Drosophila melanogaster: one gene and its partner. The protein of the gene in region 1 binds, or shares a complex with, the protein of each later gene. Each region holds a gene or a part of one and is shown on either strand. Other genes may lie near its edges. The genes, in order: Wdr82 and Cfp1.

Evidence for each region.
Region 2: Wdr82 (region 1) and Cfp1 share a complex: the UniProt entries of both Drosophila melanogaster proteins name them as parts of the SET1 complex.

What each region holds. Positions count from the first base shown.
Region 1 is NT_033779.5:8,364,200-8,379,955, forward strand, and holds Wdr82 (WD repeat domain 82), read left to right. Parts: upstream 1-10,261; 5' UTR 10,262-10,327; coding exon 10,328-11,281; 3' UTR 11,282-11,350; downstream 11,351-15,756. Other genes in the region: RpS13 (ribosomal protein S13), read right to left, coding at 1-116, 342-364; CSN8 (COP9 signalosome subunit 8), read left to right, coding at 724-780, 841-905, 954-1,129, 1,190-1,440; Pp2A-29B (protein phosphatase 2A at 29B), read left to right, coding at 2,112-2,195, 2,897-3,050, 3,113-3,531, 3,598-3,672, 3,732-4,497, 4,559-4,831, 5,024-5,200, 5,517-5,521; CG17292 (uncharacterized protein), read left to right, coding at 8,399-8,426, 8,488-8,554, 8,682-9,089, 9,341-9,715, 9,785-9,929; CG13390 (uncharacterized protein), read right to left, coding at 11,363-12,364, 12,431-12,574; CG17294 (uncharacterized protein), read left to right, coding at 12,885-12,973, 13,026-13,322, 13,378-13,594, 13,648-13,812; AlaRS (Alanyl-tRNA synthetase), read right to left, coding at 14,220-15,756. UniProt on the Drosophila melanogaster protein: Component of the SET1 complex that specifically di- and trimethylates 'Lys-4' of histone H3.
Region 2 is NC_004354.4:9,263,702-9,280,877, reverse strand, and holds Cfp1 (CXXC finger protein 1), read left to right. Parts: upstream 1-7,917; 5' UTR 7,918-7,988; coding exon 7,989-8,212; intron 8,213-8,274; coding exon 8,275-8,962; intron 8,963-9,023; coding exon 9,024-10,103; 3' UTR 10,104-10,444; downstream 10,445-17,176. Other genes in the region: c11.1, read left to right, coding at 1-1,922, 1,981-2,626, 2,689-3,163, 3,226-3,429, 3,494-4,384, 4,447-4,549, 4,611-4,753; aladin, read right to left, coding at 5,611-5,951, 6,188-6,564, 6,622-6,906, 6,967-7,364; CG17440 (uncharacterized protein), read left to right, coding at 11,084-11,107, 11,168-11,301, 11,364-11,907, 11,974-12,372; Erk7 (extracellularly regulated kinase 7), read left to right, coding at 15,610-15,696, 15,795-15,985, 16,049-16,255, 16,336-16,476, 16,550-16,646, 16,716-17,167. UniProt on the Drosophila melanogaster protein: Component of the SET1 complex that specifically di- and trimethylates 'Lys-4' of histone H3. Essential for Set1 association with chromatin and trimethylation of histone H3 at 'Lys-4' at transcription puffs.

The DNA of each region.
Region 1 (15,756 bases):
GAGTCAGACCCTTCTTGCCCAGCTTCTTAATCTGCTCCTTGACATCATCTGCGTTCAGTTTCAGCCAGGATGGGACAGTGCGTCTGTAGGGGAGGGCTGATTGGGAAATACCCTTGCTGTGAACGAAATACACAAATGTTAGTACGCGTTTATGGCGGCGCCTGTCAAATGCGAATACGTCTGCACCATGTGCTTGCCTTTGCGGTCGATAATTAACACACTAAAACCACCGTAGAAACGCATTAAACACATTCATTCGTTCAACCCGCACGGCAGACACATTTTGCATGCATTCAGCTTGGCACACAGGCATCGAAAACAATGAAAAATTTCATTTTTACCCAGGAGCGTGCATACGACCCATCTTGATAGTCTAGTTTTTGACACCGAAAAGAAGGTGGAGACTTTTGGCACGTTGACAGCTCTACGATGTGGAGACCTGTCAAAGCAGCTATCGATAACGGGATGCTTAGCGATATTTTTTTTAATGCGCTTACAATATGTTGTGATATTCAAAACTTTACTTTAAGTGACTATTACAGGATTTATTAAAGGGAAATAGAAAGCTAATTTGTGTAAAAATAATTCATTTAGCTATCGATATATGTATACTATTGTCAGCTAGACTCTACACAAGCACAGGAGTGCTTTGGGAAGGTTTCATTTCTTGCAGCACGCTAAACGGTCACATTATTGTTTCCCGACCAAGAATTTACCAATAAAATGCATTTAAATAAATATAGTGAAGTAGTGGAGCGGCTTGAGAACGAGGAATTTGAGGTGAGTGATCGTTTAATATATTCACTACAGATGGAATTCTAGAAAACCATACTTTTACAGCAAGTCGAACTGGGAGCTGAAGTCTACCAGCAATTACTTGCTATTTACCTCTATCAAAACAAACTGTAAGTGATTGATATAAAAGAAATACATATTTTAATCTTGTGCTACAGGGCTGATGCCAAGTTGTTGTGGATGAGAGTTCCAGCTAACCTAAGGGATGACAAGGAACTGATCCAGCTGAACCTGCTCAATATTGCCCTGCAGAACAATAACTATGCCGATTTCTTCAAACACATCAAGTATGAGTGGTCGGAAAGAGTAAAGTCACCTGTGGAGGATCTTCTAAGTATGGCTATGCCTAAAAGCTTACTAATTGGATATAAAAACTTATAATGTATCTACTTAGATAAGCAACGCGAAGAGCTGTTCAAACTAATGGGCAGCGCATATATGTCCATTTACCAGCACAATCTACTGGAATTGTCACTAATGTCGGAGGACGAACTGAAACACGCCTGTGCGGCCTTAAATTGGACTGAGGAACTGGACGGTGACCGGGTAATCCTGAAGCCCAAGGTTCAGGAAGCACCGCCAGCTCGTGGAAACGATGACCAGTTGCTTAAGTTGACCGAGTTTGTAACCTTCCTAGAGAATTAAGCCTCAATAAATTTCAATACATTTAATTGGATTTTTGTATACATTTGAAGAAAAGTTATGGTCACACAGCCTGTGTCAATCTAAAAAACACTCGATTAATATCGTTATTAGACATATTTATAAATATTAGCTAAATCACCGAATTGGCGCCATTGGGTTTTGTACGAATTAGCTTTTGGAAGTATACCTAAAAATTAGGAACTAGAAACTAAGGCTACAGAATTATAATTTTCCATGTAATCTATGTAGATATATAATCATATTCTTGGCCTAATTTAATAAGTGTGATTTTAATATTCTTCAGAATTCAGTTAAATAAAATATATTTCAGAAAATCTATCGACGCGCGGAAACGCCGATAGTATCGAATGATAACCGATATGCGTTCCACCTCTACCGTTGTGTCACTTGAAGAAAAAAAATATTAATTTGCACCAACGACGTACGTTTTTCGTTCGAAAAGAACAGCAATCAGCGGATAATTGTATGGATTCTTAGAAAATTTGCAGCGACGAAATATAGTACCTTGCGAAATTATTTTGTAACCTTGAAGAAGTAAACTGCGAATCGCCAGAGGGCCAAATAGAAATCTCGTCGTTTGCCTGCAGAATAGAAGACCCGATTTTCAGTGCGCTTGTGTTTGTGTGTGAGCAGCAGAAACAGCAGAAAAAATGGCAGCAAGCGACAAATCGGTCGACGATTCACTATATCCCATTGCGGTTCTAATCGATGAACTGAAAAACGAGGACGTTCAGGTTTGTCATGTCCTAAAACCTGAAATCCAATTGTATCTCGCGAAGAATGTGCAGAAATATTCTAGTGATTAAATTTTGGGGTAGCGTGCCCACACTCCCTGCTTTATCTGCGATTGTATTTGTGCAAAAATGCGTCACGGTGTGTGTGTGCGTGTGTGCATGGGCATTTGTGTTGGTGCGAGTGTGTGCATCGAAATTATACCGAATTTCGATATACACAAGATTAGCGTTTTGCGAAAAAAATTACTATTATCAATTAATTGCAATTATGGGTATACGTCTTTATCCGCTTTTTATTTGTAGATTTTGTTATCCTTCATTTATGTATGTATAAGTATAAGTTTTTACGCATTTGCTATTTGCAAAAACAATTTACAACTGCGCGTGTTAAAAATAGATCAACTTCAATCAATAGTAATACCATAACTGATTTTAAAATGAGATAGTAAGATGAAATATTTTCGTTACATCGAATAATCTAATCACTTATCTTATCTAAAAAAGATATCTTAAGTAAATATATATGCTACGTTTTTTTTTGAAAATAAAATGTAGGGTACAGGTTGACCACCGCTTTTGTAAAAAAAAACCAATAGCCCTATCAATAATAACCTCAAAATCGTAGAATTAGTTACCACTTATCCTAAATTTGAATACCCTATTAAAATAATCATCTTTAATATTTTCCCTTACCAAAACAGCTTCGGTTGAACTCCATCAAGAAACTGTCCACCATTGCACTCGCTTTGGGCGAGGAGCGCACACGGTCCGAGTTGATTCCCTTCCTCACCGAGACCATATACGATGAGGACGAGGTACTGCTGGCCCTGGCCGACCAACTGGGCAACTTTACTAGTGAGCAAAGATATAATTTCTAATGAAAACATTTCCAACCATGTTCCGCCGTTACTTTCCAGGTCTCGTTGGTGGGCCAGAGTTTGCCATGTACTTGATTCCGCCCCTCGAGAGTTTGGCCACCGTAGAGGAAACCGTGGTGCGAGACAAGGCTGTGGAATCTCTACGCACCGTGGCCGCTGAGCACAGCGCCCAGGATTTGGAGATCCATGTGGTGCCGACACTGCAGCGATTGGTTTCCGGTGACTGGTTCACCTCACGCACCTCTGCCTGCGGCCTCTTCTCGGTCTGCTATCCACGCGTCACACAGCCAGTGAAGGCCGAGCTGCGCGCCAACTTCCGAAAGCTCTGCCAGGATGAGACACCCATGGTGCGCCGTGCAGCGGCCAACAAGCTGGGCGAGTTTGCCAAGGTCGTTGAGACGGAGTATCTGAAGTCCGATTTGATTCCCAACTTTGTCCAGCTGGCACAGGATGATCAGGTAAGCACCTGATTAAGACCAATTTAACAACACTCCAAAATATCAATCCTTATCCTTAATTTCCAGGACTCTGTCCGTCTGCTGGCTGTAGAGGCATGCGTAAGCATTGCCCAGCTGCTGCCTCAGGATGATGTAGAGCACGTAAGTTGATCAGCGCTGAAATTGTTAATACCTGTTGGCTTACAAAAAATATTCCATAGCTGGTTCTGCCCACGCTGCGCCAGTGCGCCAGCGACTCTTCCTGGAGGGTGCGTTACATGGTGGCCGAGAAGTTTGTTGATCTGCAAAAGGCTGTGGGCCCAGAGATTACTAGGGTGGACTTGGTGCCTGCCTTCCAGTACTTGCTCAAGGATGCCGAGGCCGAGGTTCGCGCTGCAGTGGCCACCAAGGTGAAGGACTTCTGCGCCAATCTGGACAAGGTCAACCAGGTGCAAATCATCCTTAGTTCCATTTTGCCCTATGTCCGCGATCTTGTCTCGGACCCCAATCCTCATGTGAAGTCAGCTCTGGCCTCAGTGATCATGGGCTTGAGTCCCATGCTGGGCGCCTATCAGACTGTGGAGCAATTGCTCCCCCTGTTCCTTATTCAACTCAAGGATGAGTGCCCAGAAGTGCGCCTAAACATCATCTCAAACCTGGATTGCGTTAACGACGTCATCGGTATCCAGCAACTGTCACAGTCGCTTCTGCCCGCCATCGTCGAGCTGGCCGAGGACTCCAAGTGGCGTGTGCGTCTAGCCATCATCGAGTACATGCCTGCTCTGGCCGGTCAGTTGGGTCAGGAATTCTTTGACCAAAAACTGCGCGGTCTCTGCATGGGATGGCTCAACGATCACGTGTACGCCATTCGTGAGGCAGCCACCCTCAACATGAAGAAGCTCGTCGAGCAGTTCGGAGCTCCCTGGGCCGAACAGGCCATAATTCCAATGATTCTGGTTATGTCGCGCAACAAGAACTATTTGCACAGTAAGTTATCGAATTGAAATTGTAATGATCAATATATGCTTATGGTTCTTATGATTTTTAGGAATGACTTGCTTGTTCTGCCTGAATGTTTTGGCAGAGGTCTGCGGCACAGATATCACCACCAAGTTGCTGCTGCCCACAGTTCTCCTGCTTGCCGCTGATCCCGTTGCCAATGTTCGTTTCAACGTGGCAAAGACCCTGCAGAAGATCTCGCCCTTCCTGGAGGCCAGCGTCATTGATGCCCAAGTAAAGCCCACACTCGACAAACTGAACACAGACACAGATGTGGATGTCAAGCATTTTGCTGCACAGGCCATTGCCGGCATAGCTGCAGGTAAGCAATAAACAGTCTAATATAAACAAGGTTAGCGTTTGACAGGGATAGAAAGGGTCTAACTTATAGAACAATATATAACATTATTCATTATCACAAGTTTTAAGGCATGCAGGGAATCTGAGAGTTACACAAATTCATAAATTGTCAGTTAGTAGTAAGACTTTAATTTTAATTAAAATCCTGCCATAGAAATGGAACTGAATGTGTTTAGAACGGCAATACCGCCGTGCATGGGCGCCAAAATTGAGGCGGCAATGGACTCAAAGCTGATAGTGGAACCGCCCCGACAGCCGGAGGCAGCTGACAATGACATTTTGCAGGAGATGAATGGCAAGGCAGCGGAGCCGCCCACGCTTGACTCGGAATGTTAGAGGATGAGTAGCCAACCACATGACGTGTGATGTGCCTCCCGCTGTCTCCAGCCAGTTCCACAAGCCAATGTGTTTAATCCTCCCCGTCATAATCGTATTCACATTTGATTGTTTGTTTGTTCAAGATAACCAGGCTAGATGTCCGATCTGATTAAAGTGCGAGTGCAGTGGATCAAATATTTAACCGATACTAATGTTGTGCCATATTTTTTTGTCTCTTTCCCGGTATCATCGCCATCACCACGTGGTTATCTCACCATTCCCCACTCTGTGTTCGTCTGCAATAATGTGTTTTGTATATTTGTTTATAGCGTAATCAACCTTCTTGCATCTTTTTTTATTCTATTTTTAAAACTGTATGTATTTAACGCCGGCAACAAAACATATTATGTAGCAACAACACTTAAGAACGGAAAATTGTAGTGGATCCCGGAAGGTGTTAAACGCTGCAGCCGATGCTGGATGAGGGATGAATGGAGCCAGGAGTCAGAGGAAGGAGAGAATCGGAGAATCAGCATGGGAGGAGACCCACTAAACGCGACACACAACTAAACATTACTACTTACATACTTATATTATATATAAATTACCATAGGCATAACGATCATTATTAAAAACATTTGTAGAGTTTGGAACATTTGATCGCATCTGAATGCAAAAATAAAATTGTAGTGAAACAATATCACACGATCTATTGAAAAGTTTAATGTGGAGCAAAATTGAATATTTAACTCCCAAAATTGTATACCAATTTCTAGGTTTCAGTTGTCAGTTCAAAGTTTGGAAATGTAATATTTTCCTTTTTATAGTTTCGTTCAAATTAAGCTTTATATACATTCTGATTATTTGGCAGGTGCATTGATTATTTATAATTTGTGAGAGGTATGGCTATGAAAAGCATAGATTATACAAACAAAATACTTGTATTTTTACATTTTAAAAATACTGTTAATTTATTTTGAAATCCTAAAATCATTCCAGCAGTAAACGATTTTGATAGCAAGCTAGACTGATATCGATAGGCGCCAAACAGACACCTGGCGATAGTTGGGGCTTCTTTTTGGTTTTTTAATTGGATGATGGTGGTGGTGGTGGTGGTGGTGGCGAGCAGTTTCTAGCGAGAGATCAGTTGGACTTTTGCGACGAAGCGATACGCTTGTTTGTTTTGCCGTTCCGCTGCGCGTTGGCCAATGTTTGCCTAACTCTCGAATCGAATTCCGAAACCGAGTGTGGACGCGTAAGTGCCATTGAATTATTCCGTCTGACGCTCGAGCGCCATCGAATCGGATGCGGCGTGGAATGTGGTGGAGTCAATGGGGGGATCAGATGCAAATTTGATTGGGCAAATGGGTGGAACCAATCAATTGTGTGTATACAATAAAACGAGGTGTTTGTGTGTGCCCAACCAAACACAGCCAAATGCGGAACATTATCAGTTTACCCACGGCTGTCGCAATCTCCGCGTCCGTTTACCGTCCACTGACCTACGATCCACCTGCCCCCGTGGACGCAACAAGTGTCCGAATATTTATAGTCTATGGGCTCTATGCATTAATTACTCGCATATGTCAAAAACGCTGAGCTGTTATTACAATTAGTGCTTCATTATTTAGCCCGATTTCCCCAAGTGGCGCGTTTCGCTAAGCGTTATTATTTTTACCTTCCGCTAAACACTTGGCGCCGATTCGATTCCCTCCTTACCCTCGAAACCAGTGATACTCCATCGTGCGACTGAGCATTATCTGACGGCTAATTTTCCCCCGATAAGCCGGAATATAAATTGAAGTGCTCTTTATTTATGTCCGCGATACAACGGCGAAATCGAGGCAAAAAAAGAAGGCCGGTACTTAAATTACCATTGCGTTGGGCAGGCAACGAGGGTCAGGGGTCTTCCATTTCGACATATATCTATGTACACATTTATAAGCATTTCTACAGTCCAACTTCCCTCAGTTAGATATGTTATGATTAGGAGGTTGACAAGAATAATAGTTGCAATATTAATTTATTAGTTTATACAAGAAAGTTTTGAGATTTCATAATCTCATTGAAGTATTTATATATTTTATTTTAAAAAGTATTTGTATTTGCTTGTGTTCTGCATTGTACTTTGTACTTTAACAATGTATGCTTAAACTGAAACACCACTTTCTAATTTAATTCAGTCCGAAAACAAATATATTCCAAGCTAAACTTTAACTTTTGTTCCCACTTAGGGACGTTGGACTGTAGCTTACAAGTGTGTTTGAATGGCATTGCTGTAATTTCAAGTCTGCATATTTAAGCACTGTAGTTTGTTCACTTAGACCTCGGGTTAAGGTAATCTCTGGCAATAGACAGTGGGCCCTGTAGCTGGTTGAACTGTCAAACATTTCACTTTTTTTATGATAGCCATATTACTAAGGTCAAAGTTACAGGGTCCGCCCATAAAAAGACTATTACTTTTTAAAAGTTAATTTTAGTGATAATAAAATGCACTTAAATAGCTAGTAAAACTGTACTTAAATAAACATGCTGTATTAGTCTATATATAATTAAACCCATCATATTAATGGATCAATAATAGTTACGGCGATCTTTAAGTTTGTAACTTTCAACGGGAAAACTTTGTAATTATTCAGCTCACTCCTGTTGAGGAAACTCATTATGTTGCAATTTTAATTGATCGTGGTGATTTGGAAATAAGTAGACTGGCTGGCGACAAAGCTTTTATTTTTATGGCATTCATTCAATCACCATTGAATTAGTCCTCAAGTGCATAATGGGATTAGCGTTCGATTAAACTTGTTCAGCCGATAGAAGTGGATGAATAATAATGCGGAGATTTGGAATGTTCCGAAATCGGATGTTCCACCGTAGGAGCACATGAATGATGCATGGACAGGCAAAGGCTTGGACTCCCACACGGACTTTGCCGCCGTTGGGGCGGCACACTCGTGTGAATCACGATGCTTACGATGTCGCAAGGCTTTTTTTGGCCGAACTCACCATTACTATCTTATCCGAAAAAGATTGAAATTTAATTAGAGTTATCAATTTCAATGGGGGTTTAGGCCACGCCACATTAATCCGGCCAACCGAGTGCCCGGCCCAGTCTTTGCCAATCACCGCATGGGACCAGAGGATATCCGGACAATCCACTGGCCACGTAATCAATCACTTTATGGACTAATAGCCGACAGCCCACAGAAACATGCACAAGGCCATTAAAAACAAATCCAGTAAGTAAGTGTGCGAAAATGGAAAATTCCGCTAATACAATTTGGATAATTATTAAACCAGGGCTCCTCTGCGGACTCAAGAACTCCAAGGCGGATCTAACGACAGCCAAGTTTATACTATATTATGGGTAAGAACTAATATTATTATTAGTAAATATGAAGAAAAATTATACATAAAGCCATGTTATTGCACTAATATCCAAATTTCTTAAATATATTCAAGTATTCACCTATAGCATTATCTTTTATTCACAGACCCACGGTGGCAGATAGCGATATCTATGACCTAACCGATTTCCAGAGTCTTCTGGAGGACGAGCACTTGGATTTGGGCAAGAACACCGTGCTCTATTTGCACGGCTACTTGGAAGATCCGGATGTGGAGAGCATTCACGTCATAGCCGAGGCCTATCTGGAGCGAAAGGATACCAATCTTATCGTCCTAGACTGGGGTGAACTGGCCGATGGCAATTACATGTTCGATGCCTTCCCGAACCTCAAACAGCTGGGCCCAGAGTTGGCCAAGGTCCTGCTCAAAATGTTCGACCATGGCCTGGACATTGAGAAGTTCCACATTGTCGGACACTCGATGGGCGGCCAGCTGGCCGGACTCCTCGGCCGAGAGATTACTAAACGCACCAAGGGTGTCAGAAAGATAAAAAGGTAAAATGAAAGAGGTTTGATTTCAAATTATTTATTCATGCTCGGTTCGATTTTAGTCTATGCCGACGTCATGATATACGATGTTTAATATACGATATTTAGTTAATAATTTTAATGTCCAAAGCTTAACACTTTTGTATTACCATATGGTAATACAAAAAGTTTTTTTTTAGAATCGTTGTTCGGCAAAGTTTATAAAGTTTATATTGAATCCTTTTCTTGTCTCACTTATCTCCAATCTTCTTTTATAGAATTTCCGCTTTGGATCCCGCATTTCCGCTCTTCTATCCGGGCACGCACCTGTCTGCCAATGATGCGGAGTTCGTCGACGTGATACACACGGACGCCTGGCTGTACGGAGCTCCGACGAGCACGGGCACGGCGGATTTCTGGCCAAATGGTGGATACAGCCTGCAGCCTGGCTGTCCCAAGCGAAACTACAAGATGCTCAGCGACAACGATCTGTCCAGTCATCGGAGGAGCTGGTGGTTCTGGGCCGAGAGCGTTTCGGATCGATATCCCATTGGATTCGATGCTGTGCCCGCCAAGAAATGGTCGGACTTCAAGCAGAACAAAATAGTAGAGAATTGCCCGCCCGTGGTGATGGGTCATCATTGTCCCACGACGTAAGTTTCTACTTGCCTTATATGCATAGCGCAGAATTTAGTTTCATCATTTGAAATTGTGATTTTCAGAATTCATGGCGACTTTTACTTACAAACCAACGGACATACACCTTTTGCTCGAGGCAAGGAGGGCACTGTCTACGTTGACCCCAAGGATCTGCTGGGAAATACCCACAGCATCACCTGTGACTGCCCGTCGGAGAAAACGAATTAATAAGACCATCTACAATTGCACTGTGTACATTATGAAATGTAGCTATATTAATATTGTTGTTTCTATGACGCCTTACACCACATTTTGATTTACGAGAAAAATATACTTAAATTTTGTTGTTGAAAAAAACTTTGCATTACTTTGGGGTATTTATACATTATTATTGCACTATTTGGGGTTTTAAATGAGTTTTATTAATTACTTTTTTTGAATGGATTTTTTGAACTTTCAAATAATTTAAATCTGGTTGCTGGTTCCGCTCTTGCAATTCATTCCGGAACCAGTTCGAAAGTTGCGATATCGATAACACAGCTATCGACCCGTCAACCTCTGCCACCGATAACATTGTTTGCAACAATTGAGCATATTGACAACAAAACGAAATTCGACAGGCTAAAATGAAGATAAAACTAATAGATTCGGTGGTGCGCAGTTTTAAGGTGGCCAAGATCTTCCGAGAGAACACGGACAAGATCAACGCCATCGATTTTGCGCCCAACGGCGAACATCTAATATCCTGCAGCGAGGATGACCAGATCGTGATCTACGACTGCGAAAAGGGGACGCAGTCGCGCACGGTGAACTCGAAGAAGTATGGAGTGGATTTAATCCACTTTACGCACGCCAACAACACGGCCATCCATAGCTCCACCAAGGTGGACGACACCATACGCTATCTCAGCCTGCACGACAACAAATATCTGCGCTACTTCCCCGGCCACACCAAGAAGGTTATCTCGCTGTGCATTTCGCCGGTGGAGGACACCTTTCTCTCCGGCTCGCTGGACAAGACGCTGCGCCTGTGGGACTTGCGCTCGCCCAACTGCCAGGGACTGATGCATCTCTCTGGACGACCCATTGCTGCCTACGATCCCGAGGGCTTGATCTTCGCCGCTGGCGTTAACTCGGAAAGCATTAAATTGTACGACCTTCGCTCTTTCGACAAAGGCCCCTTCGTCACATTTAAACTTAATCAGGAGAAGGAATGCGACTGGACTGGCCTTAAGTTCTCCCGTGACGGCAAAACAATTCTGATCAGCACGAATGGATCGGTCATCCGGCTCGTAGATGCCTTCCACGGCACTCCGCTACAAACGTTCACGGGCTATCCAAACAACAAGGGCATTCCCATCGAGGCAAGCTTCAGCCCAGACTCGCAGTTCATCTTTTCAGGCAGCACCGATGGACGAGTGCACATCTGGAATGCCGACACTGGCAATAAGGTGTCCGTACTGAATGGTGACCATCCGGGACCGGTGCAATGCGTTCAGTTCAATCCAAAATACATGATGCTGGCGTCCGCGTGCACCAACATGGCTTTTTGGCTGCCCACATCCGAGGAGGGCTTGTAGGCAATGATTCCCGCTTGCTTAGCTTATAAGATTACAATTTAATTTATAAATAATAAATCAACATAACATAAACAGAGGCCTCTAACTGGATTCCTGGGGCTGGTCCTTGTGGCGGTCGTATCCTCTACGTATGCTGTTCAGGAGTTGTCCAAGATTATGACCCATTTTGGCACTAATGCCGAGCACGGGATTTTGCAGGCGACGTTGCAGTTCCTCAAAGTTGTTTTGGCCCTCTTCCACGTCCAGCTTATTGGCCACCACCAATTGCGGGCGACTCGCCAGACGTCCGCCAAACTGGCGGAGTTCGTGCATTAGCTGCTCATAGTGCGTCCATGGCTCCGGTGCACTGGCATCTAACACGAACAGCAACAAGGTGCAACGCTCGGCGTGCTTTAGGAACTGTATGCCCAAGCCCTTATTGCGATGAGCATCGGGCACGAGTCCGGGAAGATCGGCAATGGTGAGCTGGACATGATCATCGTACTGGACGGTTCCCAAGTGCGGACGCAGCGTGGTGAAGGCGTAGGGAGCAACCTTTGGCTTGGCCCGTGTCAGTGCATTCAGTAGGGTGCTTTTGCCAGCATTGGGGTAACCAATCAAACCCACATCCGCCATGCTGCGCAGTTCCAGAGTGTATGATAGATCTTCACCCCTAGGACCGTATTCGCTGACCTTGGGACTTGTTTCCTTGTCCGTGGTAAAGAAACGGTTGCCCTTGCCACCGGCTCCTCCTCGAGCGGCCACAAACATAAGATCCGCTTGTCCCAGATCCCCGACAATTTGACCTTGCGCATTCCTGATCACCGTCCCGATTGGAACCTTGATCACAGAATGCTTGGCGTTCTTGCCATGACAATCCTTGGAGCTGCCCGGCTCTCCTTCTTCAGCTTTCAGAACACTCCCCACGTGGTTAAAGTTGCGCACATCGTTAGAGGCCTGGAACACCACATGCCCGCCGTGGCCACCGTCTCCGCCATCTGGACCGGCCCTTTCATTGCACCATAGCTGCAGGAAGGACACGCAACCGTCGCCACCCTTTCCGCCGATGGCACGTATCCTCTTGGCATCGGAGAAGTACTGCGCCTGGAAATGTGGACACAAAAGTGTGGCATTAGTTATGTAAATTCCATTGCAATCTTATGATTCTACCTCTTTCCGGGTGGACTTCGCCTTCTTCGGACGCAGCGCTGATGCCACCTGACAGTAGTTGGCTATGAGACCAATTGGTTTTGCATTTCTGGATATATTCAATGAAAATCGCGCAAGAAACGATTTGCCGGTAGAGAATAACATTGCTGAAGTCTTGTGACCATGGGCATAGTCAGAAAAATATGTAATAGGGATTGATATATCTTAATCAAGTGAAATTAAATTAAATGATCTAAAGGTTCGAGAAATGTATTATATAAATATATTAAGATGTATTTTTAGGGCGGCTAGAATTTTTTACTTTTAAAAAAGTATTCGAATCCCCGTCTACACCTGTGGAAAATCACCTGCTGATACATAAACATATCGCGACGACTATCGAAAGCTATCGAACCAGCTGGAAATTATGTTTTTGTTATCCAGAGGAACGAGAAGCTTTCAACAGTTGAGAAAGATGTCTATTAAAGGAGCACTCATTGATCTCAGTGGCACCTTGCATGTGGAGGATGAACCTACTCCGAATGCTGTCGAGGCGTTAAAAAGGTGCTTAGTTTAAACCAAGGTATTCGTAATTATTTTCAAAGTTGCCGTGTAGATTGCGTGACTCTGGCGTACTGGTGAAATTCGTTACAAACACCACGAAGGATTCAAAGGCCACTCTTCACGAACGGCTATGCAGGATTGGCTTCCAACTTGACGCCTCTGAGATCTACAGCTCCTTGAGTGCCGCAGTCTCGTATGTGGAAAATGAGAGACTAAATCCGTACTATATTCTGTCTGAGGATGCACGACAGGACTTTCCGCCGGAGGACACTAGGCGCTATAAGGATTCAGTTGTAATCGGTCTGGCACCCAAGGCCTTTAACTATGAACAGCTGAATGAGGCTTTTAAGTGAGCATCCGAGCAAGGATATTCTTATCTCAATTAACGATTATCTCTGCAATAGCGTTCTATTGGAAAACAAGAATCACAAACTGATCGCCGTGCATCAGGGTAAGTACTACAAACGAGCAGAAGGCCTAGCCTTGGGCCCAGGGTGCTTTGTCAAGGGTTTGGAGTTCGCTACAGGACGAACTGCCAAAGTGATTGGCAAGCCCAATCCTTATTTCTTCGAAGGAGCTCTGGCTGGTCGGGATCCAGCCTCATGCGTTATGATTGGAGATGTATGTAAAGTAAGGAATACATTTTGAAAACTTAACGAATTCTTGATTCGCAGGATGCCAATGATGACATAGTGGGCGCCATGAGCATGGGCATGCAGGGAATTCTGGTCAAGACCGGCAAATATCTGCCGGATGTCAAACCATCCCCACCTCCAACAGCGTTGTTGGAAAACTTTGCAGAGGCTGTCGATTGGATTATACAGAAAAACCAATCTTAGGCTTTATTGGGCTTCTGCAAATGTTTATCGTGTTTAAAACATAGATACTGACGAATTTTTTATTTAAAATAGTTACTTAAAAAGACTTTACTGATATAGGTAAGGCTTAGATATAATTAAATGCTCAAAATAAGTTCAGTTCTGATTATAAACTTTTCATGTGGAACATAATAAAGGACCCGTTTTTAAAGTGTGAACTAGCCCGAATCATTTTTCAACGATGTACGAATACAGCCAAACACAATTATGTAATTAATTTAGTGTATAAATGCTTTTATTTTATAAATAGCCGTAAAAATTCATCTGAAATGCTGTTTAAAACAGATCAACGGATTAAGATTAAGCATAGTTGTGTATCAAAATTGTGAGTAATTGAAGGTCTTGCCGCTTTCGAATCCTTTATGCTCTTAAGACAGTTTCGACTGAGCGAATTTGCTGGCCAATTGGACAATTTCGTCCACCTTTTCGTAATTTGTGCCCGATGCCTGGGCGGATTCCGGTTTGCCACCTCCCTTGCCTCCCAGCGTGGCGGAAACATGCTGCACCCACTCGTTGGCCTTCAGACCCTTTTCCACGGCACTTTTCGGCACCGAGCTGAGACAGAAGATCTTCTTGGAGTCCGCATCCACTGACAGAAACATGGCGGCAGCGTCGGGCAGCTGGCTGCGCACTTGCTTCAGTGCGGCATCCAGCGCCTTGGTGTTGTTAAAGGCTTCCAACTGCTCGACCAGCACGGTGGCATTGGGATTGGCTTCGCACAGAGTCTTGGCGCGCTCCACAACAGTGACCGAGACAGCGGCACGCAGGGCACGTTCCTTATCGTCCAATGTTTTCTTCAAGCCCTTCAGCAGATTGCGCATCTCGTCCTTTTTCACGTAGGGAATCGTAGCATGCGAGATCTGTTCAGTCAGCTCAACAATCTCCTTCACATGCGACTTGGAGTCCTTACCGGACTTATCGTTATCAATGGTGGCCTTAAGCCGGACGATTTCTTGTTCAAATGCTTCAGATTTCTTCAGTGCCTTCAGAGCTTCGGGTCCTGTAAGAGCCACAATTCTTCGGATACCCTTGGCAATGGCCTCTTCGCTGCTGATAACAAAGTCCATTATGTGACCCGAGCGCCTCAAATGGGTGCCGCCGCAAAACTCGACGGAGGTTTGTTCGCCGGCTTCAGAATCGGGATTCTGCTCCAGTTCATCTACGGGCACTCCGAAGGAGATTACCCTAACGGGATCCGGGTACACTTCGTCGAAGACCGATCGCAGGCCTCGGATCTTCTTGGCCAGGGCCAATTTCGACTCCTTTGCGTAGATCGGCACATTCTTGTACACCATCTCCTTAGTCAGCTGCTCCGTCTTGGACACCTGCTCGATGGTCATTGCCGCCTTGCTGTTGAAGTCAAAGCGTAGCTTCTCTGGCACTACCAGAGAGCCTTTCTGTTCGGTGTCCTTACCCAATACTTGCAGCAAGCAATGGTTGAGGGCATGGGTGGCCGAGTGGTTTTTCATGGTCAACCAGCGACGCTCCACGTCGATGTGCAGTTCCAACTCATCACCCACCTTAAGGGTGCCCTCTACAACGCCAATGTGAAGAATGTAGCCTCCGCGGTTGTAGACACGGTCCACAAGGAACTCGTTCGCCTCGTCATTGACTTTAACCAGTGCACCTTGGTCGTAGATTTGACCACCGCTCTCTGCATAGAAATTTGTTTTGTCCAGAACGATGCCCGCCTTCTGTCCGCTGGTGATCTCGTTCACAAACTGGTTTTCGAAGCGCAGGGCAACAATTTTACTATTGCACACACCGTAGTTGTAGGCGGAGTCACGTTCGTCAGACACAGCCTCGTACTTGTACTTGAAGGTGTCGTTGGTTGGTGGCACACCTTGCTCCTGCAGCTGCGAAATGGCGTGCACATCCAGATTGATCTCCTCGATTTTGCTAGCA
Region 2 (17,176 bases), on another chromosome or scaffold:
GATACTGCAGGCCCTGTCCAGCATGTATCCACTGCTGCCCAAAGACCGGATTCAGGATCAGGCCGCCCGATTGGTTCCCCAGATCCTGGCGCTCTATCGACGCAGCGTGGACAGGAATGCCGTGACGCAGTTCCTCTGCTCCGTGTTGAAAACGAATCTGGCACTAAATGCCACAGTCTTGGATGGCATAATTGACGTGTTGGTCACCCATTTGTTCGACCTGGTCTGCGTTTATCCGGACTATGAGAAACCGCAGACGGTGAAGGGTCACTACGAGGTGCTGCGTTGCTTCCACCTTCTGGCCGGTCATCAACCCTACTCCACGCGCATTATGGACACCCTGCTGATCCACCTGCGGAACAATAGCGAACGCGAGAGGATGAAGTCCCTGCTGATACTCACGCACCTACTCAACTCCTGTGCAGGGAATATAGAAAACCGGATTCCAGCCACCATTGAGTGCCTAAAGCAACTGATCCTCAGCGAAAGAGGGATCAAAATGAAGCTAACGCTGCTAAAAACCATTGTGGCTCTCGCCCAAAAGTCCCACATCCGGGACAAGGAGTTTGTGTGGTTCGTGGTGCGGCATAGTTGCCGATTCTCAAAGCCAAGTCAGGAGCACGGCAGCCAGGAGGAGCACGCCAATTTGGTGCTGAGCTGTGAGAACACCCTGTACATGCTGGCCTCTACGGTGGGCACCTTGGATGAGCTGCTCAAGAGGGAGCTGCTGAACTACTTGATCCTACTGGACTACACGGATATTTGCGGGAATCTCGCCAAGTGCCTGGCTAGTTTGTTTGCCAAATCTCCGCACATAGAGTACGATATTGCGGGAGACGATGCCGCCACGGAGCAAGCCACACCGGAGAGTATGGGCGCTGCTGGCGAGGATCGCAGTGTGATCAAGCGCGGAAAGGTTATGGTCCCTGGAGCCGAGACGATTTACGCAAGATGTCTGGCACTCCTGGGCAATCAGCAGTGCATTAAACGATGCTCGAATATTCTCAGTTTTCTGCGCTACTACCATCCTCAGGTGAATCCCGCCCTGGAGGAGCTGTGGGAGCGAAAAATTCCCGATCTTCTGCTGCAAATCAACAGGGAGAGTGCCTATCGCCAGCTACTCCACGATTTTGTGCTTGAAACGAATGAATTTCTGGGCGGATTGGATGAGAACTTTGCCCAGCGGCTGGCCAGTAAGCTGGCGGACCAGATGTACTTGTATCCCATGCAACTGCCCCACTCCGAGTGGCATTTGCCTGACCTTAGCGCCGAGCGAGGCATGCTCCTGCAGGCGGTGGCCCTCACCCTGCTTCAGGTGACCGATGTGGCCTGCATCCACACCAAGATCGATCTCATTGTGACGACTGCCAGGCAGGAAAGATTGGACAAGCACGTTAAGCATGCGGACTACGAAAAGCGCATTGAACCCTGTGCCAGAGCCTTGGGCTACATTTCCCGCCAACACTTGGGGCATCTGATCAAAAAGCTAACCGAACTGGCCCAAGTCGGTGGGCGAAAGCACTCCACCGGTTTCTTTAGCAATCTGCACTTTATCAAGGATACGCACAAGGAGCTAGAGAACTACAAGAGCAACCTGCTCGTGGTCAAGGCTTTTGGTCGCATCATGGACGAAGCCGATCCGTTGCAATCCATTCAACACCTGGACGAAGATGACACATTGCTGGGCTTCCTCATCCAACAGCTGGCCGTGCACAAGGACCAAACAATTATGTCGGCGATCCTGCAGACGCTGCTCAGCATCTGCAACCAGTTGATAGCCACCAAGGAGCAGCTGCCGGCTCCTCTGCGTCATCGCAAGCAGATCATGGAGACGGTCTTCAACATCCCCATCGAGGCGCCGTTCCACGACCTTCCCCTTCTGCCCACCATTCTCAAACTGGGCACGGACTTCATACGCATAGGTAAGGAATTTCTATTAACTAAATGTAAATCTTATCCTAATCCTTTCACTATTTGTAGGTGGACCCGATACCGAGGAGTGTGTGGACGGCGGGGTGATCTTCGAGATCGCGTGCCGCAACTTCTTCGGCTGTGCCCAGCAGCTCAAGATGAAGTTCGACTCTCAGGAGGAGGATGAGCGCAACAGCTTCCTGGCCAAGCACCTCAACGAATCGCTGCCGCAGTTGAATGCGCTTGTGAGGGCCATCGTTGAACTGGACGCCTCGCCGGCCACACTGGATCTGATTATTGGCATTCTAGAGGGCTGGACAAGGGATCGCAACTCTGAGGTGCGAATCTGTGCCAGCCATGTGTTTAACAACACCCTCGATGTCTACATCAAGTCCATGAAAATTGGCTGCGAGGCCCCGTCGAAGTTCAATCAGACTGGTCAAATGCTGGGCAAGATTGTGCCCAGGTGCATCGATTCGAATGGCACGGTGCGGCAGGTGTCCGTGGAGATCCTGCAGAAGACGCTGGAGATCGCGTGTATCTACGAAACCCTGACGATAGCCAGCATCGACAGCACTGCCGACTGGCTGAAGGAGATCGAGACCATCAAGGAGCACATAATCACCGACGAGCCCAAGCAAATCTACAATCTGGCCGGCGACATTGCCAAGATTATTGCACTGCGTATCTCCAGCTTTCAGTACCTGCAGTTCTGGTAAGGATTAGTACGGTCTACATTAAATCGGTTAGATTAGTACGGTTTAAATTTCTTTACAGCAAAACTCTACTTCATTCGCTGCGTGATCCTGAGCAGAGTTCCACCATTGGCGCCAGTGTTGTGCTCAAGTTCTTTATCCAGCAGAAAGGCTCTGAGCTGTTCCACGCCATTCCCGACCTGGTTCGCGACAGTTTGCTGGCCTTGCGCGTGTGCGAGGTGCCCAGGGCGAAGTCCGGAGTGCTAAAAGCTTTGGTGGCCCTCACCAAGCACCATCCCAAGTTGGTGTGTGCCGAAATGCTGTCGCAGCCGCTGCCGTACGACCCCAATCTGGTGGAGTACTGGCACCTGGTGTGCAACGACCCGGAGTTGACGGGCCTCACGCTGGACAACTTTCTGCAGCTGCTAAGTGGTGCCTCCCTCCAGGAAGGCGGTCAGGATGCATCTCTTTCCGAACGTCAGAAATTAGCCAGCGGCCAGCCGTTTGCCATTTTCTGCGCTCTGCATGAGATGCTGCCGTGCAAGGATATCAAGGGGGTGAGTGCTTGAAAGGGTTCCGTTGAATTTTCACACTTAAACTAATGGCTTTGTCTTTTTAGCAACTGGAAACAAGGTTTGCGGACATGTTCTGCATGCTGCTCACTTCGCTAAGCAGCTACACCAACTTAGCTGCACCGAATCCTATAAACAATGCCTCTCTAAGTCCCAACCAGACGCAATCGGGCAAAACCAAATTCGGTTTCGTGCCCAACAAGGAGCTGATCAAGCTCAATCCCTGCCAAATAGCACTGGAAACTTTCCAGGTAGGTTCCAACACCATTAAATACTCTATAATTCTCTATAATAGCCTATTGCCTTAATTTTTAGGCCTTCCTGACCAATCTAGAAATGGAGCAGATTGCCAGCGTGCTGACTGTGAATACGCAACTGGCGAGCAGCGCGGACTGGCACAACTACATCGAATTGCTGACACCGATGGCCATCGGTCTAGGTCAACAGCTGCAGCTGGGAAGTCCGCAGATGAGGCAACTGGTCAACTCGCTGAGCAAATATGTGGCTTCACCATACGATGGTCAAAGAGTGGCCGCCGTGGGTATTTTCTCACGATTGGTGCCACTGAAACCCACCGGTGAGCTAGCTGCGTCCATACTGCTCCACCTCGGAGCCGCACTATCCGATCCCAATGCGGTAGTGCGAGGTCTCAGCATCCAGGGCATGGGTTACGTGGGCCAGTTGGGAGAAAAGGAGGCGAAGCGCTACTCGGAAACTGCCATCGGTGCTCTGTTGAAGGGAGTCGACGATCCGGTGGGCGATTGCCTAATCAACATTCCGCTGGAGAGCATGCGCGGCCTGTCTGGAATACTGCGAGCATTGCCCAGCGAGCGGGTAGAGCCCTTCCACGTCTCCCTCGCCATCCGGATTCGACCGTTTCTCGGCAACTATGCACTAGAGATGCGAGAGGCGGCTATCCAACTGTTTGGCGATATATGCGAGGGCAAGCACGATGACGGCAGCAGTTCACCCACATCCTCGATGGAGGCACTGAGAGAGCAGCTCATCGCCAATCTCTTCCCGCTGCTACTGCATCTCAGCGAGAGCGAAGTGGCTATTGCCTCGGCCTGTCGTGGAACACTTCAGCGGGTTTGTCGTCTCCTGACAGCTCCAAGGGTCGTGGAGATGGCGGAGCAGCAGTTGGGCGAGGAACGAGGTCACCAGCTCAACTACAGCAGCTTTGTGCTGGAATTTGTCAAGACAATTGTGAGTTTATAATGTTCCAAACGGGACATAACAATATTTCTAACATTCATTTATTCTTTCAGGCACTGGAGCTGACGGATCACATCCAGGACTTCATCGATTCGTGCCTGCCGCAGTTGCGTAGTCAGTGGCCCGAGGTGCGAGGTAGTGCAGCCATTGTAATTGGTAAGTGTTCCGGTGGTCCACAAGAATCCTTGAAATAATTTCAATCGTTCTCCTTGCCTAGGCATTCTGCACAACTTCCTCAGCGAGAGAAACGTCCAAACGGAGACTGTGGCCAGCAAGATTGCCGTGCTGCTCAAGGACGAACAGGCGCTGGTGCGGATGAGGGCAGCCACTGCTCTGGGTTACTTCTTTGGGGACATCTAGAGCATCCAAGGGACCAACTCGATTAATTAGATGTGCAGTTATGTTGTGTGTGTTTGTAAATTATGACTTAGTATTGCTCCAAGTGTGATCCCTTTGCCTCAGCAATCGTTCCCTTATTATGTTTGATATTTAACTCTTTGTTTTGTTATGTAATCGAAAGTCACGTTATATACTATCTGTATACACATAGCATTATTTATATATTTATATTTCCATGTTAATGCGGAGCGTTTTGCAGCTTTAAGACAGTTGGAAGTTATAGGAACTCGTATTCGACCGAAGACTTTGTTACGGACAATAATTACTTCATATTATACTGAGTCTATTCAAAATTACCTTGGCTTTTTGAGGTTCATAAAAATTAAAGAAAAAAATAACTACTATGATTCCACAGCAAAAATACGTTGTCAAAAATTGATTGTATTCCATTAAGGAAGTGGTATTTTATTAAAAATATTAATAAATCCTTATAAGCGTAATCAGATATTTTATTTGATTCTTTATATAAATTGCAAAACAATTGCTGGACCAATTTTAAGCAAAAATAATAAATTAGGAATTGTTCTCGAATTGATTCAATTACCTTAAAGGTGTAAAACGCTTTGTCCATTTCAATCAAATCTGTAAAAAAGAGATAAATGTGGGGGTGTGGCAATGGTACTGTTTGCTTGTAAAAGTCAATTACCTGCCACATTACAGATATACTTTCAAGTGCCACAGACTCACACCTTTGAATTTATCTCAATCCCCTACCATTGTTGGATTCCAAATTAAGGTTAACCTGTTTAACTGTGTATTAACGCTTACAAAAACCAAATCAAAAAATGTATTACTATGAAAATCACTAAGCTTTAAGATCAGTCGAAGGCGTAGTACTGGATGCGGCCCGACGACCAGGCGATCGTCAGCACGGAGCGATCGTTATCCTCGTAGAGTGGCTGGAAGCAGATGAAGCTCGGGTGCTCCGCCGCCGTCTCGCCGCTCAGATAGTAAGCCGCCGAAATCTGCAGATCGAACTTCTGTATGAAGGTGCGGAAGACGGCGATGCAGTTGGTCGCCTTGAATGTGACTACCAGATAATTGCCATGCGGATCCCAAGCAAGCTGCTGGGCGGGACCACCGACAAGCGTGCGATTCGCATCAATGCTACAAGCATTTAGATCTGCAATGGGCAGGATTTCCTTCTCATCCGCCGAAGCTGCAAGGAGATACAAAAACGGAATATGTTAAATATCAACTAGTACATTGGTACCGGTTTTTGTTTTTGTAGTCAGCATTATACAGGCGGTCTGTAAGCTGCAACAGCCGCCAACCTGTTACTGACTGCTTTGATCTGGGGCAGCCCCAAATCGCACCCTTGTATCTGACCACCGTTTCAGTTCAGACACTGGGAGCAGACTGCCCTGAATACGTACTCAAAGCTTTCGTACTTACAGGATAGCAGACTCTGTTGCACGAACTGCAGGCGGTAGAGAATCGGTTCGGCACTGCTGACGAAGAGCAGGAAGCGACCGCAGGGCGACCAACAGGCTGTTTGGACATAGCCTCCGGGACCGCACACCCATCGCTCGGTGGTCCATTGCTGGTGGCAGTTCCACACGCGGAACACCCGATCCACGGTGGCTGCGAACAGCCAGTCATTATCCGGCGACCACTTCAGCAGCGAGCCCGGCGGACCCAAACGCTTGAGTGGCTGCATCATTCCGGTGTCCGGCTGCCAGATAATAATGGAACGATCTCCTATTGAGGCGGTGGCCAACTGGGTGCCATCCTTGTTCCACTGCATCGAGGTTATTGGCAGATTGTTTGGGCTAAAAGGGAAAATAAGTTATGTATTTACCAACTAACGATAAATTTTCTATACTGACTATTTAAAAATCTCGCTGGGTGCATTTGTGCGTCCCAAATGCAAAGTGCTGTCCACTTCCCAGAAACACAGACCCTGCCGACAACCTATCACGATCTCGGAAGCGCAGAGTGGACGCCACGCCATGCAGGTGATCTGCGTTTGGGATGGACTCTTTAAAACAGTGGCAGTGGTCGCACTGGAACTCTTTGTGTAGATGCGCACCACATCGTCTACACCGGCTACGGCTAAGCAAAAGAAGTGCTGATTCCAGGCAAGATAGCGCACATCGCTGTTGAGCCAATCCCTGAATGAATGGGACAGTAAGGTTTAGGTATTATTGGTCAGTTGGCTGCGCCCCACCCACCTGGTCTCCACGAACTGAGCAATACGCTCTGCACTAAGCTGCTGGGTGTGCGGGAGGATCCTCAGGCCGGTGGCCAGGCCCAGAAATTGTGCGATTAAATCACCCGCCTGGGCAATAAGCGGCGCCTGCTCCCTGGTCTCTGGGCTGCGTGCCTCCTCCAGCGTCTTCCAGAATCCGCCATTAAAGAAGCTGCGAGCTATGCGCTTTAGGACACCCTCATTCACAGATACGAAGCTCTGTCCGCCGTAGTACCGCTGACCAGCCGGATTGGCCAGAAGTTCGCTGTTCAGGTTTATCTGCGGATAGCGTTCCAGCTCTGGGATGTGATTGTGCCGCAGCGCCAGATCCGGCAGCGTGGAGAACGGCGGACACTGTTTTAGGTTGCTCAGGGCCGCCATAATTGCAGACTATTCACATTCAATTCAGTTCAGTTGAGAAAAAATGGTAACGAAATACAAAGAAAAAACCGCGCGGTTATTAGAGGTGAGAAAAAGCCGACAATGTCAGTGGTAATTCGATGCTTAATTTTTCTATCGATGTTTAATTTTACGAAACTTCGAAAATACTGGGCCGCGGCAAAATCTTAAAGATTATCGAAAAATAAAAATTAGGTATATATAAAGTAACAATCTTTTGTAGGTTTTATATTCACGTTGTTTCTCTTTCAAGAACTCTATTTAATCTCATAGATCTCGAACACACTATCGTTTGTTATTAAGACTATGGAATTAGTTCTCTCGATATAAGTGTTACGAAGCATTTTATATTTATACACAGCTTACAATAAATACCTAAAATTGTTTTTATTGTATAGTCATACATCAATTAAAATCTACAACGTAGTTTTATGCTAAATATTATATATTTTATTAGGCCAGAACCTATCGATTGTCTGCAATACATTATTAGTAGGCTATCGATATCCTTTCATTCACCATCTCCATCGCAAAAAAAAATTCCATGAAACTTAATTGACGGATTTGGATTTGGACTGGATTTGTTGTCGGAAAGATTGCTGCGAGATGACGGACAAGCGCAAATATAAGAAGACCGTAAGTTTCACCCGCTGCACGGCAATCATATTTTTAACTACAAAGGAGGTTTCCAAACAGAAAGAGGAAATCAGGCGGGAGATCGCACGGGAATTTGATTTGCCTGAGCGCAAGTCCAAGATAGCCACCATTCTAAAGCAGGAAGACCAAGCGTACTGCATATGCCGCTCCTCCGACTGCTCCAGGTTCATGATGTGAGTTGAATGGCCTTAAAGGGCTAGATCCCGGCTAACTACTTGTACCCTTCGCTTTCCAGAGGCTGCGATGGTTGCGAGGAGTGGTACCACGGCGACTGTATAGGGATCACCGAGAAGGAGGCTAAACACATCAAACAGTACTACTGCCGGCGCTGCAAAAAGGAGAATCCCGAACTACAAACCATATTCCGCCTGGTGGCCACCGAACGGGCAGCCGCATCGAACGCCGCCTCTACAAGTCTCAATGCCCCGGGCGTAGGTCCATCGGGAGCTGCGCCTGCTGCTGCACCGGTGGCGTCCGCAACAACCAGCCAGCAAGCGCCGCCACCGACCACTGCGGCAGCGAAGCGCAAAAACAGCAGCGCCCGAGAACCAAAGATGGGCAAACGTTGTGGTACCTGTGAGGGATGCCGGCGTCCCAATTGCAACCAGTGCGACGCGTGCCGCGTTCGCGTGGGCCACAAGCCGCGCTGCATATTCCGCACCTGCGTTGTCCAGGCGGCGACGGTCTTAAAGGAGTCGCAGGCAACTCAAGCCGGCCCAAGTAGGAAGCGGGAAAAGGCGGCACCCAAGAGTCGCAATGTCCAAGTGGGCCCGCGGGCGGCCAGTCCGGAGATATTCCTCAATCCGGAGCTACAAGGCATCCGGCAGTGCTACGGACCCAATTGCTGCTCCCATGCGAGACCGCAGAGCAAGTACTGCAGCGATAAGTGTGGCTTCAATCTGGCCACAAAACGCATCTTCCAGGTTAGTTTCATTTTTTGGCCAGACTATGACAATTAAACACCAAAGTCCTTTACACTCTCAGGTTCTGCCGCAACGACTGCAAGAGTGGAATCTAACGCCCAGCCGCGCCGCCGAGGAAACACGCAAGCATCTTGATAACATTCGTCATAAGCAGTCCCTGGTGCGTTTCGCACTTGCCGAGCTAGAGAAGCGCTCCGAAGAGCTCAACATGGTGGTGGAGCGAGCCAAACGAAGCTCCATTGATACATTGGGGTCACAAGACACCGCCGACATGGAGGACGAACAGAGCATGTACTGCATCACCTGTGGCCACGAGATTCACTCGCGCACTGCCATCAAGCATATGGAGAAGTGCTTCAACAAATACGAATCGCAGGCCAGCTTCGGGAGCATATTCAAAACGCGAATGGAGGGAAACAATATGTTTTGTGATTTCTACAATCCGGCAAGTAAGACTTACTGTAAGCGATTGAGAGTATTGTGTCCGGAGCACAGCAAGGATCCGAAGGTGAACGATACGGATGTGTGTGGTTCGCCCTTAGTGAACAACGTCTTCAATCCCACGGGCGAGTTTTGTCGTGCGCCAAAGAAGAATTGCTTCAAGCACTACGCCTGGGAGAAGATCCGGCGTGCTGAGATAGATCTGGAGCGTGTGCGTCAATGGCTCAAGATGGACGACCTGATGGAGCAGGAGCGCGTGATGCGGCAGCAGCTCACCTCGCGAGCGAACCTGCTCGGCCTGATGCTGCACTCCACCTACAACCACGAGGTGATGGACGAGCTGGTGCGCAAACAGCAGGAGCATCTGGTAGAGTTCGAGAAGCAGAGGCGACGCCTGGCTCACCAGCAACAAATACAAACACAGCAGAAACAGTACCAGGAAAAGCAGAAGCTAATGTTGCAGCAACAACAGCAACAGCAACAACAGCAGCAGCAACAACAACAGCAGCAACAACAGCAGCAGCTGCAACAACCACAGCAGCAGCAACAACAGCAGCAGCAACAACAGCAGGAGCAACAGCAACTGCAATTGAAGCCACATCATCTGCAGCAACTTCAACTTCAACTGTTGCAGCAGCAGCAAAAGAAGGCCCAAATACCACAGAAAACTCAAATTATATACCTGCAGAAAAAAACATAGATTTGTAGTCCCCTAATCATAGCAAGAACTAACAATAAACTGACGTCCAAGAAATATTTTTCTACGACAGTAATCTTTGGACTTACCCGACGCAAAGTTTCTAGTGTCGCCTTTCTCCTGGCAACCGCATAACACGCTCGCCAGCTGTTGGGTCCGCTTCCCGGCCAGTAGTAGGTTGCTACGCGCCGGGATCGGCGGTACGCCCATGTTTGTTATTGAAAACTAAGCATCAAATATGCATTTATTGATAGCAACATGCTATTAATACATTAGGCCAGCTCAACCGTGGATATCATTCACATGGATTACATTAGCACACACCTTAATATTAGTTTATTAGCTGGATTCAAGTTATTTATAATTTCTATATACGATTTGTTTTCTGTTCATTGTTAGTTTGTATTTAGAAATAATCTAGAAAATAAGTTAGCATATTAAATACATTTTCTTAAGCTGTAGGCTTTTTTTAATAATGCAGGTTAATATTACTGCATTAAACAAAGTCATGAAAAAAAGAATACTCTACGCTCAACATATTTTGAAGATCATATAGACATAGGCCACCGAGTCCGGGTTTTGATATCCGAAACAATGGTTCCGGGTAAATGAAGAGCGGGGGGCAACCATTGGAAACGGCAGGACCTTGAAAACGATGGAGGCTATGGATTAGAGTGGGCATGCTGTAGTTGGGAGCCAAAAGGAATGTCAGGACGCACAAGTGCAGTGGAAATTTCAAGCGAGTCTGAACGAATCCGGCTACCCGGGCAATCAAGTAGTCGTGGCGATTTGTGACTGTTCCCCCAGACGAACTGTCAAAAATGCCAGTCGTTGTCCGGAACTTTTCTACATCACACACGACCTGCTGATTCAAAGCCAGGAATACAGTTCATTTACAATCTCCATCGCAAAAAGAAAAATTCCCTGAAACTTAATTGACGGATTTGGAATTGGACTTTAGTTGTCAGAAAGATTGGTGCGAGATGACGGACAATGATAAGAAGACCGTGAGTTTCACACGCTGCACAGCAATCATATTTTTAGCTACAAAGGAGATTTCCAAACAGGAAGAAGAAATCAGGCGGGAGATCGCACGGGAATTTGATTTGCCTGAGCGCAAGTCCAAGATAGCCACCATTCTTAAGCAGAAAGACCGTGAGTACTGCATATGCCGCTCCTCCGACTGCTCCAGGTTCATGATGTGAGTTGAATGGCCTTAAAGGGCTAGATCCCGCCTAACCACTTGTCAACTACGCTTTCCAGAGGCTGCGATGGTTGCGAGGAGTGGTACCACGGCGACTGTATAGAGATCACCGAGAAGGACGCTGAGCACATCAAAAATTACTACTGCCGGCGCTGCAAAAAAGAGAATCCCGAACTGCAGACTATATTCCGCCTGGTGGCCACCGAACGTGCAGCCGCATCGAACGCCGCCTCTACAAGTCTCAATGCCCCGGGCGTAGGTCCATCGGGAGCTGCGCCTGCTGCTGCACCGGTGGCGCCCGCAACAACCAGCCAGCAAGCGCCGCCACCGACCACTGCGGCAGCGAAGCGCAAAAACAGCAGCGCCCAAGAACCAAAGGAGTCGCAGCCGACTCAAGCAGGTACGAAGCGGGATAAGGCGGCACCCAAGACTTCCAATGTCCAGGTGAGCCCGCGGGCGGTCAGTCCGGAGATATTCCTCAATCCGGAGCTACAGGGCATCCAGCAGTGCCACGGACCCAATTGCTGCTCCCATGCGAGGCCGCAGAGCAAGTACTGCAGCGATGAGTGTGGCTCTAATCTAGCCATCGAACGCCTATTTCAGGTTAGTTTCATTTTTTGGCCAGACTATAAGACTCCAATTAAACACCAAAGTCCTTTACACTCTCAGATTCTGCCGCAACAAATGCAAGAGTGGAATATTACGCCTAGCCGCGCCGCCGAGGAAACACGCAAGCATCTAGAGCTCAACATGGACGAGCTGGTGCTCAAACAGCAGGAGCAACTGGAGGAGTTCGAGAAGCAGAGGCAACAGATACAGACTCAGCAGAAACAGTACCAAGAGAAGCAAAAGCTAATGTTGCAGCAACAACCGCAGCAGCAGCAACAACAGCAGGAGTTACAACAACAGCAGGAGTTGCAACAACAGCAGGAGCAGGAGCAACAACAGTTGCTGCAGCAACTGCACTTGAAGCCACATCATGTTCAGCAACTGCAACTGCAAATGCAGCTGTTGCAGCAGCAGCGACAGCTGTTGCAGCAACAACAGCATAAACCGGAAAATCCATAGATTTGTAATCCCCTAATCATAGCAAGAAATAACAATAAACTGATGTCCAAGAAATATTTTTCTACGACAATCCAGTAATCTTTGGACTTACCCGACGCAAAGTTTCTAGTGGCGCCTTTCTCCTGGCAACCGCATAACACGCTCGCCAGCTGTTGTGTCCGCTTCCCGGCCAGAAGTAGGTTGCTACGCGCCGGGATCGGCGGTACGCCCATGTTTGTTATTGAAAACTAAGCATCAAATATGCATTTATTGATAGCAACCTGCACGTAAAGGGGTTGGATACATTGGGTTAGCTCTACCGTGGATATCATTCACATGGATTACATCAGCACACACCTTAGTTTTATTAGGTTATTAGCTTGATTCAAGTTATTTATAATTTCTATATACGATTTGTTTTCTGTTCATTGTTAGGTTTCATTGTTGGCTTTTTTTTTAACTAAAGGTAAAGATAAAGTAATACATTCAGATAGGTTAATATTAATGCATTAAACAAAGTCATGAAAAAAGGAATACTCTACGCTCAACATATTTTGAAGATCATATAGGAATAGGCCACCGAGTCCGGGTGTAAATATCCAAAACAATGGTTCCGGGTAAATGAAGAGCGGGGGGCAACCATTGGAAACGGCAGGACTTTGAAAACGATGGAAAACTATGGAGTAGAGTGGGCATGCTGTAGTTGGGTGCAAGACACCAAAAGGGATGTCAGGACACACAGGTCACACAAGTGAAGTCGAAATTTCAAGCGAGTCTGAACGAATCCGGCTACCCGGGCAATCAAGTAGTCGAGGCGATTTGTGACTGTTGCCCCAGACGAACTGTCGACAATGCCAGTTGTTGTCCGGAACTTTTCTACATCACACACGACCTTCTGATTCCAAGCCAGGAACGTACACTCGTTTTTTCTATTCGATTCCGAATCTTTTATTTTGTAAAATCGTAACGGAAGCGTGAACGCCGGAGTGCCGGGAGATACCAGGCCAACATCCGCCGCCATATGGACTCGTCCTCCTCCGATACGCATCTACATTCGTTGATCTAATATATGCTTGTAATTCCATTTCCAAAACTGTGCAAATTGAAACGCGCGTGGTCTGCGAGTGAAACATACAAATTGTCAAGTCGAGGCCGCTGATCCTAAGCTAAATCGGCTAGATTTAATCCACAAGGGCCGAAAAAATTCAAGAAGTACTTCATGAGTTGGCAGTGGGAAGCCCTCAACGGACGAAGTAATATAGATATTGTGTTCGGTGGAGCACAACACCGGAACGGTATCAAGTAAAGATTTTTTTTCTTGTTCAAGGTCCTGGACTGTACCTACAGGTTGGTGTATCCAAACGATATATATACATATATATATATCTATATAATTAATATGAAACATCCTACAGTTCCGGTTGCATCTTTTGATTCGCGTTGCGTTCGTTACTATATCGTTCTTTTTTTTCTATTTTTATTGTGCAAATTGCCAGTTTACTTTCAAGGCACACATACTCACATAACCATCCGTCAAGTTGCCGGGCCTCTTCGTCTCCTAGTTAGCCACCATTCTACATATCCTGCGAATCCTGCCTCCTTTTACTGGTAAGTGACGTGCTCCACTTGAAAACTTTTGTGCCAAATTCAATCGCTCCGATTTGGCTGTTGCTTTTGATGCTACACTGCTACACTGGCAGACATAAAGTAGATTTTAACCTTACACCTTTCACTGTCTATTTGATTTATTAATATATTATAAATTTACTAGATCAAATTATGTGCGCTTGCGCCCACTTATGCGCCAGGGTTGCATTTCAAACGGAGTCCATTCCCTACTTTCCAGCACAAAACTGGAATTCCTTGGAATAACGGCTTAATTCGAGATCAGATTCTTGCGAATTTCAATTTCGAACTCGATTTTTGTTGAACTGTGCTGGCCTTTGCCATATGAGTGTACTTGTGCCTATTTATTTGTTAAACAAATTCATTTGCCATGCTTTGTTGCTGATTTTCGTTCAGCGAGATTGCATGCCACGTATTTCCATTTGATTGTTTTGCGGCGTTTCTTGCAGCAACAATAGCTGAAGTAGGCGCAATAAAAGTATTACAGTAGGCATCCCAAAGAGTAGATGTTCGGGAAGATTTAGTGTTAAGGTTTTTAATAATAGTAATAACTACTTTATAGTTAATAATCTGTACCTATTGAAGAATATTACGTATATACATACATACATATTTAGTACCCCATCTTAAAGAACACTTATAAATCGCGTTATAAATGAGAGTTGAAGCATCCAAGAGCTTTACGCATTGTTCTCTGCAGCGAGTGCTCACTGTGCAGCCGAGCATTGTTACATGACGTTGCCGTGGGCACTTGAGGGTCCACTGTAGGCATTGCCAGGCCATCCAATTGGGGGTCTCGTTTTCGCTTTCGCCTTCTGCCCGCGATCGATCTAACAATAATTCGGTTTCAATCAGGTCCGCCTCGCGATTTATTTATTCGCTTGCTATTTTTTCCCGCTTTTTATTTGTGCTCCCGTTATGGCCGTTGTTCCGTTTCCGGTGCACTTGCATGCAGAGAGAGAAAAAGCCATTATCCCTTTTATTCCAATCCAATGATCGAAATATCTTTGTTAGTATAGGAGTATATACAGACATACATATGTATATACTTTGGCTAATGATGAGCTTTAATCAAAAAGTAATACAGAAATGTTTCAAATATTTTGAATATCTTAAAGACTGGATCTCTTGAATAATTAAAATGTACTATGCTGTGTGAATTTAATTCATTAACTTTATCTCATACATTTCGATTTTATTCTTTCACTGTGCACTTTTGCACTGCTTTTTGTTGGCGTTTCATTTTATTTGACATACTTGATGCCGTTTGCATATGGGAGCAAGCACGCGAGGACGAGGGCCCCTGATGCTCCAGTTGGAGCCGCAAAACCACTCGGGCGCCACTGCCACTGCCACATCCACGCGCAACAGCAACAGCGCCACAGTGAATGCCAGCTAACTGATAAATTTCGCACTCCACTCTGATCGTCCATAGCGAAGCTGCCACGTGGGGCTGGAGTTCTCGGGGCTCTGCCAGAGTCGCAACCGGGCCAACTAGAAACCAACTGCCGGATAAGTCCCAGCATCCCAATAAGCAAAAGAGGTCACAAGGTTAAGGGGCACGGATAGGGATAGGAATAGGGATAGGGATAAGGATAAGCAAAGGGCACAGGTGAAAAGGAGCAAGCTACGATGGCCAACTATCAAACTGCCCACGCTCAAGAGCGACGCATTCAAGAGCTGGACCAAACTGTGGAAAGCATTTTCGATGTGCGAAAGGTAAGTCAAAAAGTTCGTTCGGAGAACGGAAAATTATACTAAATTGAAGTCAAGTGATCATAGGTCGAAACGATTAATAACTTCTTTGTCTTTCGCAGCGCATGGGTAAGGGTGCCTATGGCATCGTCTGGAAGGCCACTGACAGGCGTACAAAGAACACGGTGGCCCTGAAGAAGGTCTTTGATGCCTTCCGCGACGAAACCGATGCCCAGCGCACCTACCGTGAAGTTATATTCCTGCGGGCCTTTCGCTGCCATCCCAACATCGTTCGGCTGGTGGATATCTTTAAGTAAGTTCTTTCGATATTTTTTTGTTTTCTAAAATGCGTGTATATAATGTGCATTCTCTTCAGGGCCTCCAACAACTTGGACTTTTATTTGGTGTTCGAGTTCATGGAGAGCGATCTGCACAATGTGATCAAGCGGGGCAATGTCCTCAAGGACGTTCACAAGCGATTCGTTATGTATCAGCTGATCAATGCGATTAAGTTTATTCACTCGGGCAACGTCATCCATAGGGACCTGAAACCCAGCAACATCCTGATCGACAGCAAATGCAGGTAATATTCCACTGACAATTCAGTAATTCAGTAACATCAGTGGACTCCATTTCCATCTATGGACATTGCCCTATTTGCAGGCTCAAAGTGGCTGATTTTGGGCTGGCCAGAACCCTCTCCTCGAGACGCATCTATGATGATTTGGAACAGGACGGCATGCTGACTGATTATGTTGCCACGCGTTGGTATCGCGCCCCCGAAATTCTGGTGGCCAGTCGCAAGTGGGTGCTTTGTTTAGCTTGCATGAACTTACTGAGACACTAGCATATCCCTTTGCCTTTTACCTTTTACCAGCTACACCAAGGGAATCGATATGTGGGGCCTGGGCTGCATCCTGGGCGAGATGATCAGGCAGAAGCCCCTATTCCAAGGCACTAGCACTGTCAATCAGGTAGCAGAGTATCTATATACCATTTCATAGTTATAGGTTTAAATTTACATACATATATATTTGCTTCAGATTGAGAAGATTGTGACTTCCCTGCCGAATGTGACAAAGCTGGACATCGCTTCGATTGGACCCAGCTTCGGCAGCGTCCTGCTGAGCAGGAATATCCAACGCGATCGCCGCTATTCGCTGGACGAAATGATGAAGAACTGCTGCGACGACGGTATTTCGCTGGTGAAGGCCCTGCTGGTGCTGAATCCGCATAACCGGCTGACAGCCAAGGAGGCCATAAGGCATCCTTATGTGAGTCGCTTCCAGTACGCGTCGGCGGAGATGGATCTTCACATGGACGTCGTGCCGCCGCTGAAAGATCATGTGCGCTACGACGTGGACCAGTATCGCAACAGTCTGTATGAACTGATTGACCGGGAGACGAGTTGCAGTAACCGCACGGTCAGCAATTCCACGCCATCCAGCAATCGGGACGAGTTGCCAAAACCCGTGCGAGTCACGAAGCAAGCCAGGTGAGCTGC